Bombyx mori: one gene and its partners. The protein of the gene in region 2 interacts with the protein of the main gene of each other region in a pairwise test. Links are inferred from orthologs where the notes say so. Each region holds a gene or a part of one and is shown on either strand. Other genes may lie near its edges.

Region 1 (3,661 bases), on a different chromosome or scaffold from region 2:
ACTGGTTTTTTGTTTCGGGTTCGTGCGCGTATATCCAGGATTCGTCACCTGATATAATGTTGTATACAGCATTTGAGGATCCTGCGTGGAATCTTTCGAGAGTTCTGACGCACCAAGTAACGCGAGCCGCTTTTTGCTCTTCACAGAGCGAATGCGTTATCCATCGGGAAAACATTTTTTTTACACCTAATTGTTCATGTAAGATTATTTGTATTTGACTCATGCCAATGTCTAAAGTTGCCTGAATTTCGCGGTATGTCACATGTCGATCTTCCTCAATCAGCTTACGCACAGCATCAACGTTTTCTTGGGTGACTGCAGTTTTTGGACGACCTTGACGGGGATCATCACTGAGCTTGACACGTCCACGTTGAAACTCAGCAAACCAGCGATAAATTGTGGTTTTGGATGGGGCTTCATCACCAAATGCAGAAATCATCCGGTCAACACACTGTTTTTGTGTTAAACCACTTCGAAAGTCATAATAAATCATCGCTCTTGAATTTTCTCGAGTCAATTCCATTTTCTCAACGACTAAACAAGTTTGACAAAACCTCGTGACAAGACCGAGAATCTTTTTTTTAAATAAATAAATGGTATTCGATTTTTAAAACCAAGGAGTTTTCAATTAAAAAGATTTTAATATGACAGGAACAGTGGAAATATTCCATTCCCGATACTTTTAGTGCAGCCTAGTAATCCGACTTATCAGTTAATTGAAAATGTTTAATATAACATTTTTCACAAGATCGTGACTGTTAGTTATAATATTGTTTTGTAAGTGAGCCAAGTGTTTATAAAACATTTCTTATCTAACATCAACAAGGTATGTAATGCGGTAATTTTATAGAATCACGTGTGGCTCGATACGTTTAATGACAGACCGCAACTATTGGTTTTGTTTCTTCACAATTTGCACGTTCGTTTTAAAAGGCTTCTTCGAGTAAACTATATAGGCCGGTTATCATATTTTCTCGATCTTTAATTAAGCGCGGCTTTGTCCTCGTAAATCTAGGCGTCTTTAAGATAAAATAAGTACATTATAGTGTTAAGCAAATTACCATGGCGAATTCTATGATTTGATTTGATGATTTTTAGCGTCTCTATAGAGTATTAGCCAAGCCCGGTCAGATTTGCCGATTTTTATTTGACTTCGATCCGATCGCTATAAAAAATAACAGGATCTCCTGGCCTGCTAGCCAATCTCAAGATGTGATGAAAATTCCATCGAAATCAGCCCAACTTTATCGATTTAAAAAAGTGTTGTTTTTTTCGTGACAAAAAGTACCAAAAAGTCATGCCGATTTACTCAGTACTCAGTAACTGCTTCGTTATTGCGTAAATAAACAGATCGATATTATAGATTTACAACACCGTTATTATAATTCCTGTAAGTGTAAGCTATTGGTATGTACATAATTATAGCTACGTCACAAACGAAACGACCTCAATACGAACGGCTTCTTAATAAAACGATCGAATTTCAATTGGAAATTTTCTGTCTTGTTACTCGCAGTCGGATAAGTTTTAAAAAATATTATTTGTCCTCCGAAATATTCGATGTATATACTTAACGAAATTGATTTTGTTTTTGATCGAATTTGTATTATGACTGTGCTGATACATAAAAACAGCAGTCCACGTTAAGAATGAACTAGAATGATTTCAATTCATGTAAAAATTTTGCATTTTTTTTTCCTATCTATTCTAGTAACCTCAAGGGATTATTCTAGATTCGCCGAATTACTAGGTGAGCTCACGGGGCTCAAACCTGATGACGTTGCTAACACGAACCCTAGCAAGAGTCGTGCTTCGCAGAATCTACCACCGGATCGGAAACGCGAACCACTGAGAAGATCCGGCGAGGAACTCAGTGGGCTGTGTCTGGGTTAATTTATTCGCCGAGCCCTCCGACGCAAGCGACGGGTTCGATGAAAACGATGACCGGGTTTTTTGCATAAGCACGCAATCACACATTGATAAGTGCTCAATAATCACTCAGCGATATATTTTCATTGTTAACATCACTAGCGGCAAATACGCATAAATCACTTGTTAATTATAAGACCTGAGAGGAGAATCTCGGAGAATTTGTAAATTTGTATGGGTGATATCTTCTTTGCAGATTTCTAAACGAATAATTGTAAGGGGATACTAAAGATGCTTGGCGGTAGCGTTCTGTGGTTCCGTCACGGGCTGCGTCTCCACGACAATCCGTCTCTTCATTCGGCGTTGGAAGAAACGAGCGGCCCTTTCTTTCCCATTTTCATTTTTGACGGGGAAACTGCTGGTGAGTTTCTATTTTTTTATTGCTTAGACGGGTCGACGAGCTCATCTGATGTTAAATTGTTACTGGAGCCGATAGACATCTACAACGTAAATGCGCCACCCACCTTAAGATATAAGGTTCTAAGGTATAGTTACAACGGCTGCCCCACCCTTCAAACCGAAACGCATTGTACCTTTCACGACAGAAAATAGGCGGGGTGGTGGTACCTACCTGTGTGGACTTACACGAGGTCCTACCACCAGTCGGCGCTTTGTATTTTACTAGTCTTGTACTCTTAATTGATAACGTATAAAATATCATATCGGGCTTAATTATATGGAAACACCACTACCCGCCCGGTTTTACATGCATTCTAATATCCGGATGAATGGAATATATACTGGGTGTTATGAGACCGCTTCCGAAAACGAAGATAGACGATAGTCCTAATGACACCTTTGATGGATGGGACGGAAAAAAATCGGTCCTGATTAAAAAAAAACATTTTTTAAAAATGTTTTAATAGCATTATTTACCCTCCATCATTTTAGTATAGCTAAATGAAACTATAGTTTCATAAAATATACATTACTTTACTCAAAGAAAAGCCAGCAATGAAACACAAAATTAAAACCAGCTGATGCTCGGATCAACGAACGCCCGGGCGCGGCGTTTCTTTTACACGCACACAGGTGCGGCACGGCGGGGGCGCGGCGTTTCGTTTTAGGAAGCGGTCTTCTAACAGCCAGTATTTGAGAAATTACTGACTATATTTTACATTCAATAGGAACGAAAGTGGTCGGGTACAACCGAATGCGGTACTTGCTAGAAGCGTTAGATGATTTGGACAAGCAATTCAAGAAGTACGGCGGAAGATTACTCCTTGTTAAAGGGAAACCCAGTGCTGTGTTCCGCAGACTCTGGGAAGAATTTGGTAAGTGGCATACCGAAAACTCAGTCACATATTTAGGCAAGCTGAGCGCCGTGAGCTTGTCTACTTGGCAAAGCTGGTATGACCCATCGAGACTACCAACATAGGTAGAAGAAATCAGTAATATTTGGTGTTCCTTTTTTCTTTTCCTACCTATTCGCTGGTAGCTTAAGAGGCTATTTATTTATTTATTTATTTATTTGGGAAACAAACAGTACAATACAAAACATACAATATTTAAAAAAAATTTAGCTAAAACAATAACCAAATATGTTTCCACAATCAAAATGCTATTCCAGCTATGCCCAGACGTGTAACTGAGCTTACGGGCTCAACCTGAGAGAACTTGCTAACACTAACCCTAGCAAGAGCAGTGCTTCGCAGAATCTACCACCGTATCGGAATCGCGACCCATTGAGATCCGGCGAGAAACTCAGTGGGCTGTGTCTATGGGTTAGTTC
Region 2 (3,661 bases):
ATTGTTGTATTCTCTAGAAAACGTTCTCTTCCTCCAATTAATATATTGTATGAGAATGAATTAATTTCTGTAAATAGTCATGTTAAATTTTTAGGTTTAATTTTAGATTCAAAATTGAATGGAATTCAACATTGTAATTACATTACAAACAAGTGTTTGAGTAATATGAATATCTTGCGTTCTCTTGCCGGTGTATGGTGGGGTGCCCACCCATTCAATTTAAAACTTTTATATAATGCCATAGTAAGATCAGTTTTAGATTATGGTACTTTTTTACTTCAACCAGGGGATGTGAATGCTTTCAAAAAACTAGACTCTATACAGTCTAAAGCACTCCGAATTATCACTGGAGCCATGAAATCTAGTCCTGTTACAGCATTACAGGTAGAATGTGTTGATCCTCCTCTTCATTTGAGACGTCAATATTTATCGGATAAATTCGTTTTCAAATCCCTACAAATCCAAAATAATCACATTATTACCAAACTTAAAACTCTAAATGAGCTCATAGAATCCTCTTCATTTTGGAAACATAAACGGTTACCATGTTTAATAATTAGCTATAGAAAATATTTGTCTATTCAAACTCCAACTCATCACTCTCATATTTTCCGTCTATTTTGTGTAAACTATAAGGCATTGATTTTAAAGCCGGATATTCATCTTGACATGGGTGTTTCTAAGTACCAACCGCAACCAAATACTAACTTTAATTTCGTAATAGACCAAGATTGGAATGACTATAACCATATATATACAGATGCTTCTAAACACCCTCAAGGTTGTGTTGGTGTAGGAGTCTATCATTCGCAATCAAAAATAGTTGAAAAGATAAAATTACCATCTGAAACATCAGTGTTCACTGGTGAATGTTTTGGAATATACAAGGCCATAGAATACATTTTGATATTTAAAATAAAGAAAACATTAATACTAACCGATTCAAAGAGTGCTTTACAGGCTCTTGCAAAATTTCCTTTTAAATCTCAACCTATTTACCCTATTCTCTTAGACTGCAGAAAATTGTTAATGAGATGTATGGATCAAAATCTTACAGTATCATTTGTATGGATACCTAGCCATTGCGGAATTAAAGGAAATGAAATAGTTGATGGAATTGCAAACGAGGCTATCAATTGTGGTGATATTTATTGTTTCAAAAATTATAGTCATGATTTAGTTAGCCTCCCTAAAACATATTTGAATAATGCTTGGAGTGCACAGTGGTATAATGGCGATAAAGCGAAATATTACCGAAGGGTACAACCAACCATTCCTTCCAAACCATGGTTCTACAAATATAATTTTAAACGCCATGAGACTTCCAGTTTGATACGGATGAGATTAGGCCACACATGTAGTCCGGCTCATCTAGCGACGATCGGAGTGCTGGATAGCAATAAGTGTGAATGCGGTGCGGACATTGGCGATTTAAATCACATTATTCTTTCATGTCCCCTTTTTGATCATTCACTTCTATATAGTTCTTTATCATCACTTAGTATTCCTTTCCCTATATCTGTACCTTATTTATTACATACAGTAGACCCAGTTATTTATAAAATTATTATCTTATTCCTCAACAGTTTTAAACTAAAATTATAATTATATATATTATTTATTCTTCCTAATTATATTAATCCTAATCCAATTTTCCTGCCTAAACCTTATATAACTTATATTTTCTGATTTGCTTTTTGCTTCCTAACCTTTATTTTGAAAGTGGCAAATAACACTTGGTGTTGGGTCCAAAAAGAAAAAAAAAAAAAAAAAAAAAAAAACAGTATTTATGGCCAGACTAAGTATAGTGTGCCTGTACATTGAAGATAAGTAAAAAAATAATAGAAAGGGTAATTAAAGACGATTAATAGAACATAAACCATAATAGAATTATTTTCAATCGGTTTGTTTGTTCGCTACTACTTACTACTTAACCAGTTCCCATTTAGTTTTCACTTGTCGATAAAATAAACAAATTTGGAACCCAATTAAGTTATCGTCATTTATAGGTTCCTGGAAAAATTTATATCGTTAGATGTTGGAACTGACACAAAAATAAAATTACCTAGGTCGATTTTTTATGTTTCCATGACGTTTGGTCATGTACTATTTTAGACCAATTTTTTTGTATATAGTTAGGGATACAAAGAAATAATATATTTTTTATCAGTTCTTTTCACTCCACGCAAGCAAAGGAAAGCTAGTTACTTTATTAAACGTACACATTCTGTATTGGTATAATGGGTGAATTTTTATAATAAGCGGAAACATGCTTTTCCAATAAAGTTACCTAAGACTGACGTGGAGCACTGCCAATCACAATTAATTGGTTGCCTAATTAATAGTTAATTAAAGTCTAATATTTTGTTTGATTTAGCATAATTTATGGTTACTCTACTTGGGCTCCGTGATTTGACTGCTATGTTTCCCCAAGGGCAAAGCTTATCAAGGTCTCACAAAACATATCATTCCATAACATTGTGTTGAACTGTATGGATAAGGAAGCACTATTAGCGACTTCACCGAAAAAATATATATTTTTTGGTACTTTATAATTTTATCTATTATGAGAAATAGCATTGTTGAAGTTATTGACAACTCATACCACGAATCCAACCATAAAAGTACTAAGAGATCTCTAATATCTTCATGTACCATTTCGTGATAAGTGCGAAACGTAATGTGGGAAGAATTTAAAGTAGTATAAAAACATATTTAAAAGTGATAAAGAATCATCTTAAATTAGTAAAGACAACTAACTATCACTCTTAGTCACCTGAAAAGAAACAAAAAATAAATTCGATATTTTTTTTATATAAACTCACCCAGTATTTAATTAATTATTGTATAGTATTATTTATTTATTATTTAACGTGTTCTTAGCACGATCTTTATATTTACTGATATTTACCAGGATTTTTACTGGTGGTAGGACGTTTTGTGGGTCCGCGCGGTTAGATTACAACCACCTTGTCTATTTTAGCCGTAAAGCAGTAATGCATTTCAGTTTGAAGGGTGGGGCAGCTGTTTTACTGTAAAAACTGAGACCTTAGAACTTATATCTTAAGGTGGGTGGCGCATTAACGTTGTAGATGTCTATGGGCTCCAGTAACCACTTAACACCAGGTGGGCTGTGAGCTCATCCATCTATCTATGCAATAAAATAAAAACTTCAGTTGCCGTAAATTACCTCAGTATCATAAGCTATCTACAAACTGATAATTTTGAACCGTCTATAGATTCGCTACGCCCGAAATAATGTACCAATACGGGTTGCTGCTAGAGGATTACGCCAGTAACGGAGAGTTTGTGAACGACTGTATCTTCACGGTAATGCACCACGCGGGAGGCGAACTAGAAAGCCTGATAACGTTGTTCCAACCTAAGATACTTAAGACGTTCACTTCGATTTGGAAATCGGAATTCGAAATTTGCGATGTAAGTTTTTATGGTCATATTTCATCATTTTTCCACGAACTAACTTGTTCTTACACAAAAGGAACATGTTCACAACATATAGCAATTTTACAAATTGTAAATGGCGTGTTTTCAATAGGAGAAGGTTATCGGAACTTTTTACTGGTTTTTTTTTTTGGTATCATTGTTTTCACTTTAATTGTTCTAATTCAAGGATTGGTCCGATCTAATCGAATACGTGATC
Region 3 (3,661 bases), on a different chromosome or scaffold from region 2:
GCGCGATATATCGGCCATCAGAGTCTTTCTCGGAGCGTGGTGCAAGAGAGACGATCAAAACTTGTGTCTGAAGTGGAGAACTCTCTGGGGCGAGTCTCCGAGTGGGGTGAATCGAACTTAGTTAAATTCAACCCGTTGAAGACACAAGTTTGCGCGTTCACTGCGAAGAAGGACCCCTTTGTCATGGCGCCGCAATTCCAAGGAGTATCCCTGCAACCTTCCGCGAGTATCGGGATACTTGGGGTCGACATTTCGAGTGATGTCCAATTTCGGAGTCATTTGGAAGGCAAAGCCAAGTTGGCGTCCAAAATGCTGGGAGTCCTCAACAGAGCGAAGGGGTACTTCACGCCTGGACAAAGGCTTTTGCTTTATAAAGCACAATTCCGGCCTCGCGTGGAGTACTGCTCCCATCTCTGGGCCGGGGCTCCCAAATACCAGCTTCTTCCATTTGACTCCATACAGAGGAGGGCCGTTCGAATCGTCGATAATCCCATTCTCGCGGATCGTTTGGAACCTTTGGGTCTGCGGAGGGACTTCGGTTTCCTTTGTATTTTGTACCGAATGTTCCATGGGGAGTGCTCTGAGGAATTGTTCGAGATGATACCGGCATCTCGTTTTTACCATCGCACCGCCCGCCACCGGAGTTGAGTTCATCCATACTACCTGGAGCCACTGCGGTCATCGACAGGGCGTTTCCAGAGGTATTTTTTGCCACGTACCATCCGGCTATGGAATGAGCTCCCCTCCACGGTGTTTCCCGAGCGCTATGATATGTCCTTCTTTAAAAGAGGCTTGTGGAGAGTATTAAGCGGTAGGCAGCGGCTTGGCTCTGCCCCTGGCATTGCTGAAGTCCATGGGCGACGGTAACCACTCACCATCAGGTGGGCCGTATGCTCGTCTGCCTACAAGGGCAATAAAAAAAAAAAATATCAGTTACTTAGGATACATAAAATCATGATCTACTTCACGTATTTTCTGAAAGCTGATTTTTACGTATATTTTGGCCAATGTCCTTAAAAGTATGTCGCCAATACTCCGAGGACACTTTCCGTCGGCCGCATTGCTTTGCAGACGCTTTAAAGCTCCCAAAATAACTTCACGTAAATTCTGAAAGCTGATTTTTATATAATAATATGTCCACCAGACAACTATTTTAAAACCTATATTAGCCGTCTAAGCACGCTAGCAGGTAGGCATGCATTCTTAGTACATACTAACACTACGCAATCGGCCACATTTTGTTCGTTAGAAAATAGGTGACGTCTGGGGGCCCTGGGATCTTACTCTATTAGTGGGTAATTGTAAACCAACCTGTATTCCAGCCGTCACTAGTGAACGAGCAACTTGGTCAGCTGTACCTGGACCTTCAGTTGGAAGGTGTCGCCGCGCGACTCACCCTCGAGGAGGGTATCACCAGTTCCAGCAGTTCCGGTGAAGAGACAACAACCTCGTCCAAGAGGAAACGGGAATACAGCAAATTGGTTATGATATATGAAGAGAACGCTCCCTTCCCACCTCCTTCTTCTGAAGAGATACAAGAGATACCGACAGCCAATCAGTCCGAGTCCTAGTCGAACAGTATTTCTACCACTTCGTGTTGTCGAGGTACAAAAGAATTACGACATTACTTTTTTGCAATTATTATATATTGCAATGATTATACTGGGTGTTAGGAAATCGCTTCCGAAAACGAAGACAGACGATAGTACAAATGACACCTTAGATGATAGGACGGAAAAAAATAGATCATGATTTAAAAAAAATATCATATTTTTAAAGCGTTTTGTTAATATTATATTTATATATTTACGCTCCATCATATTAGTGCAGCTAAATGAAACGTTAGTTTCATTAAAAATACATTAAGTACTTTACAAAAAAAAAACCCAGCAATGAAACATAAAATCAAAAACAGCTGATGCTCTGATCAACGAACGCCCAACAATGAAGACGTGGCTTCCGCCTTTAAAACTGCCAAAATTCTCCAATTATTACCAAGAAGAAGACCTGGCTGTATGGACTAAAGTCCTTTGCCTTTCCCATTAGGGATAAATTAATATCATCATCAACGAGAACGCCCGGGCGCAGGGCGGCGCACAAATGCTTATTTACAGCGGTCTCCTAAAACTTGATATATCTTTTTGTACTCAAGCTATTAAGTGCTGTATTATTTTTCTTCTCGACCCTCGGAGGCTTGCAGGCCTCTGATCCCGATTTGATCTAGCGTCGGTTTTGAACCACGAATAATATGCGACTAGCACTTGCAATGCATCTTTACGATTGTCAACGTTAGTGCATGGCTTGTCTTGTTTATCCTTTGTCTGTGGTATAGCGTGCAAACTGGCCACGAACATGACTTTTTTAAAGGGTTTTTGATATCAACCTCTTTGATGTCTATCTTTTTAATATACTCCTCTGGATCATATCTAAATCGATTTTATGATCGATTCAAAGGAAAACACGTATTATGAAACGCGTATGCGCCTTTGTGTAATTTAATTACATTAAATGTTTGTAGGGACACAGTTTGATTTGTAAAAAATGTTTGTAGACGCTTTGGAGTTGCAACATGAATGCAGACTCGATTTTCTTGTCTTTAAATATTCTATGTGTTGATGTAAATTAGAACATTTCTGCGATATAATTCGCTGCATTTTAATGTCTACATTAATATAAATAGCTGTAATTAATTATGTATATTATAGGTTTCTCACTAAATTTGCTCATTCAGTTTGAAAAATATTTTATGAAAATTTTGCTTTAAATACACAACACCGGTTTTAACTGTGATAAATAATATATTAATAATATATATATGTTATGTCTATGTATATACATTTTATAAATATACCTGTTAGAGACAATAGGCAAGCAGACCTTAAATATATATATCTCTGTATATATATCTTAAGAATAGTTATAATGGGTGTTTATAAAATCTTAATTCAATCAATAATGAATTCTATTAAAATTGACAGGTGAAATAATGTAATTGCCATGTTTGTTTTCAGTCGAGATTTGTTTCTCTGTTTAGGAGCATTTTAAACTTCATTCGCACTTGTATTCTTGAGACAGCTGTATAATATAGGTAGACGAAACAAAAGATAATTACTGTTTGTATTTCTCTTTGTTTGTGCTTTGTGCGCTCCTAAATCGTTTATTCTATTGGGATAAAACACGTTGCAGTTATTTCTGGCACACAAAGGTACCTTTCTGTTAGAAAACCATCAAATAACGATAGATGGCGCTTTCATTCGTTGACACATAAATAATAAATTGCGGATGCGTTTCCAACTTTATATATTCATTTTACATACATATTGTGTTCAAATTTTATTTACTTAGTGTGCTTTTTTTGTTTTTTATTTTTAATGTTTATTTCTAAAGGTAATAAATACAGTAAATGCCCTATTTAGTCGAGATGTCAAAGTGCTTAACGATTAATCCTTTTATTGTTTTTGTTTTGATGCGTCCTATTTTATTTTTTATATCCTGTTTACGGGTTAACGTCCTGCGTAAAATAACTCAAAAATTTTTTTTTAATTGTTGTTGTTTTTATTATGCATTTTTTATTAGTAATTCTTAATTTTACCACCGATCCTAACTGGAGCATTAAGAATAAACAAACTCGGCCTACATGTGTTTTATGCTATTGTTGATA

What was found.
Region 1: the proteins of timeless (region 2) and cry1 interact in a two-hybrid assay, tested with the Drosophila melanogaster proteins (5 studies listed by BioGRID). The link is inferred for Bombyx mori from reciprocal best matches to the Drosophila melanogaster genes tim and cry.
Region 3: the proteins of timeless (region 2) and Per interact in a two-hybrid assay, tested with the Drosophila melanogaster proteins (5 studies listed by BioGRID). The link is inferred for Bombyx mori from reciprocal best matches to the Drosophila melanogaster genes tim and per.

What each region holds. Positions count from the first base shown.
Region 1 is NC_085123.1:13,775,985-13,779,645, forward strand, and holds part of cry1 (cryptochrome 1), read left to right. Parts: intron 1-2,125; 5' UTR 2,126-2,160; coding exon 2,161-2,290; intron 2,291-3,056; coding exon 3,057-3,203; intron 3,204-3,661. UniProt on the Drosophila melanogaster protein: Blue light-dependent regulator that is the input of the circadian feedback loop. Has no photolyase activity for cyclobutane pyrimidine dimers or 6-4 photoproducts.
Region 2 is NC_085110.1:8,701,164-8,704,824, forward strand, and holds part of timeless, read left to right. Parts: intron 1-3,239; coding exon 3,240-3,438; intron 3,439-3,631; coding exon 3,632-3,661. UniProt on the Drosophila melanogaster protein: Required for the production of circadian rhythms. The biological cycle depends on the rhythmic formation and nuclear localization of the TIM-PER complex. Light induces the degradation of TIM, which promotes elimination of PER.
Region 3 is NC_085107.1:12,512,458-12,516,118, reverse strand, and holds part of Per (period), read left to right. Parts: intron 1-1,322; coding exon 1,323-1,571; 3' UTR 1,572-3,661. UniProt on the Drosophila melanogaster protein: Essential for biological clock functions. Determines the period length of circadian and ultradian rhythms; an increase in PER dosage leads to shortened circadian rhythms and a decrease leads to lengthened circadian rhythms.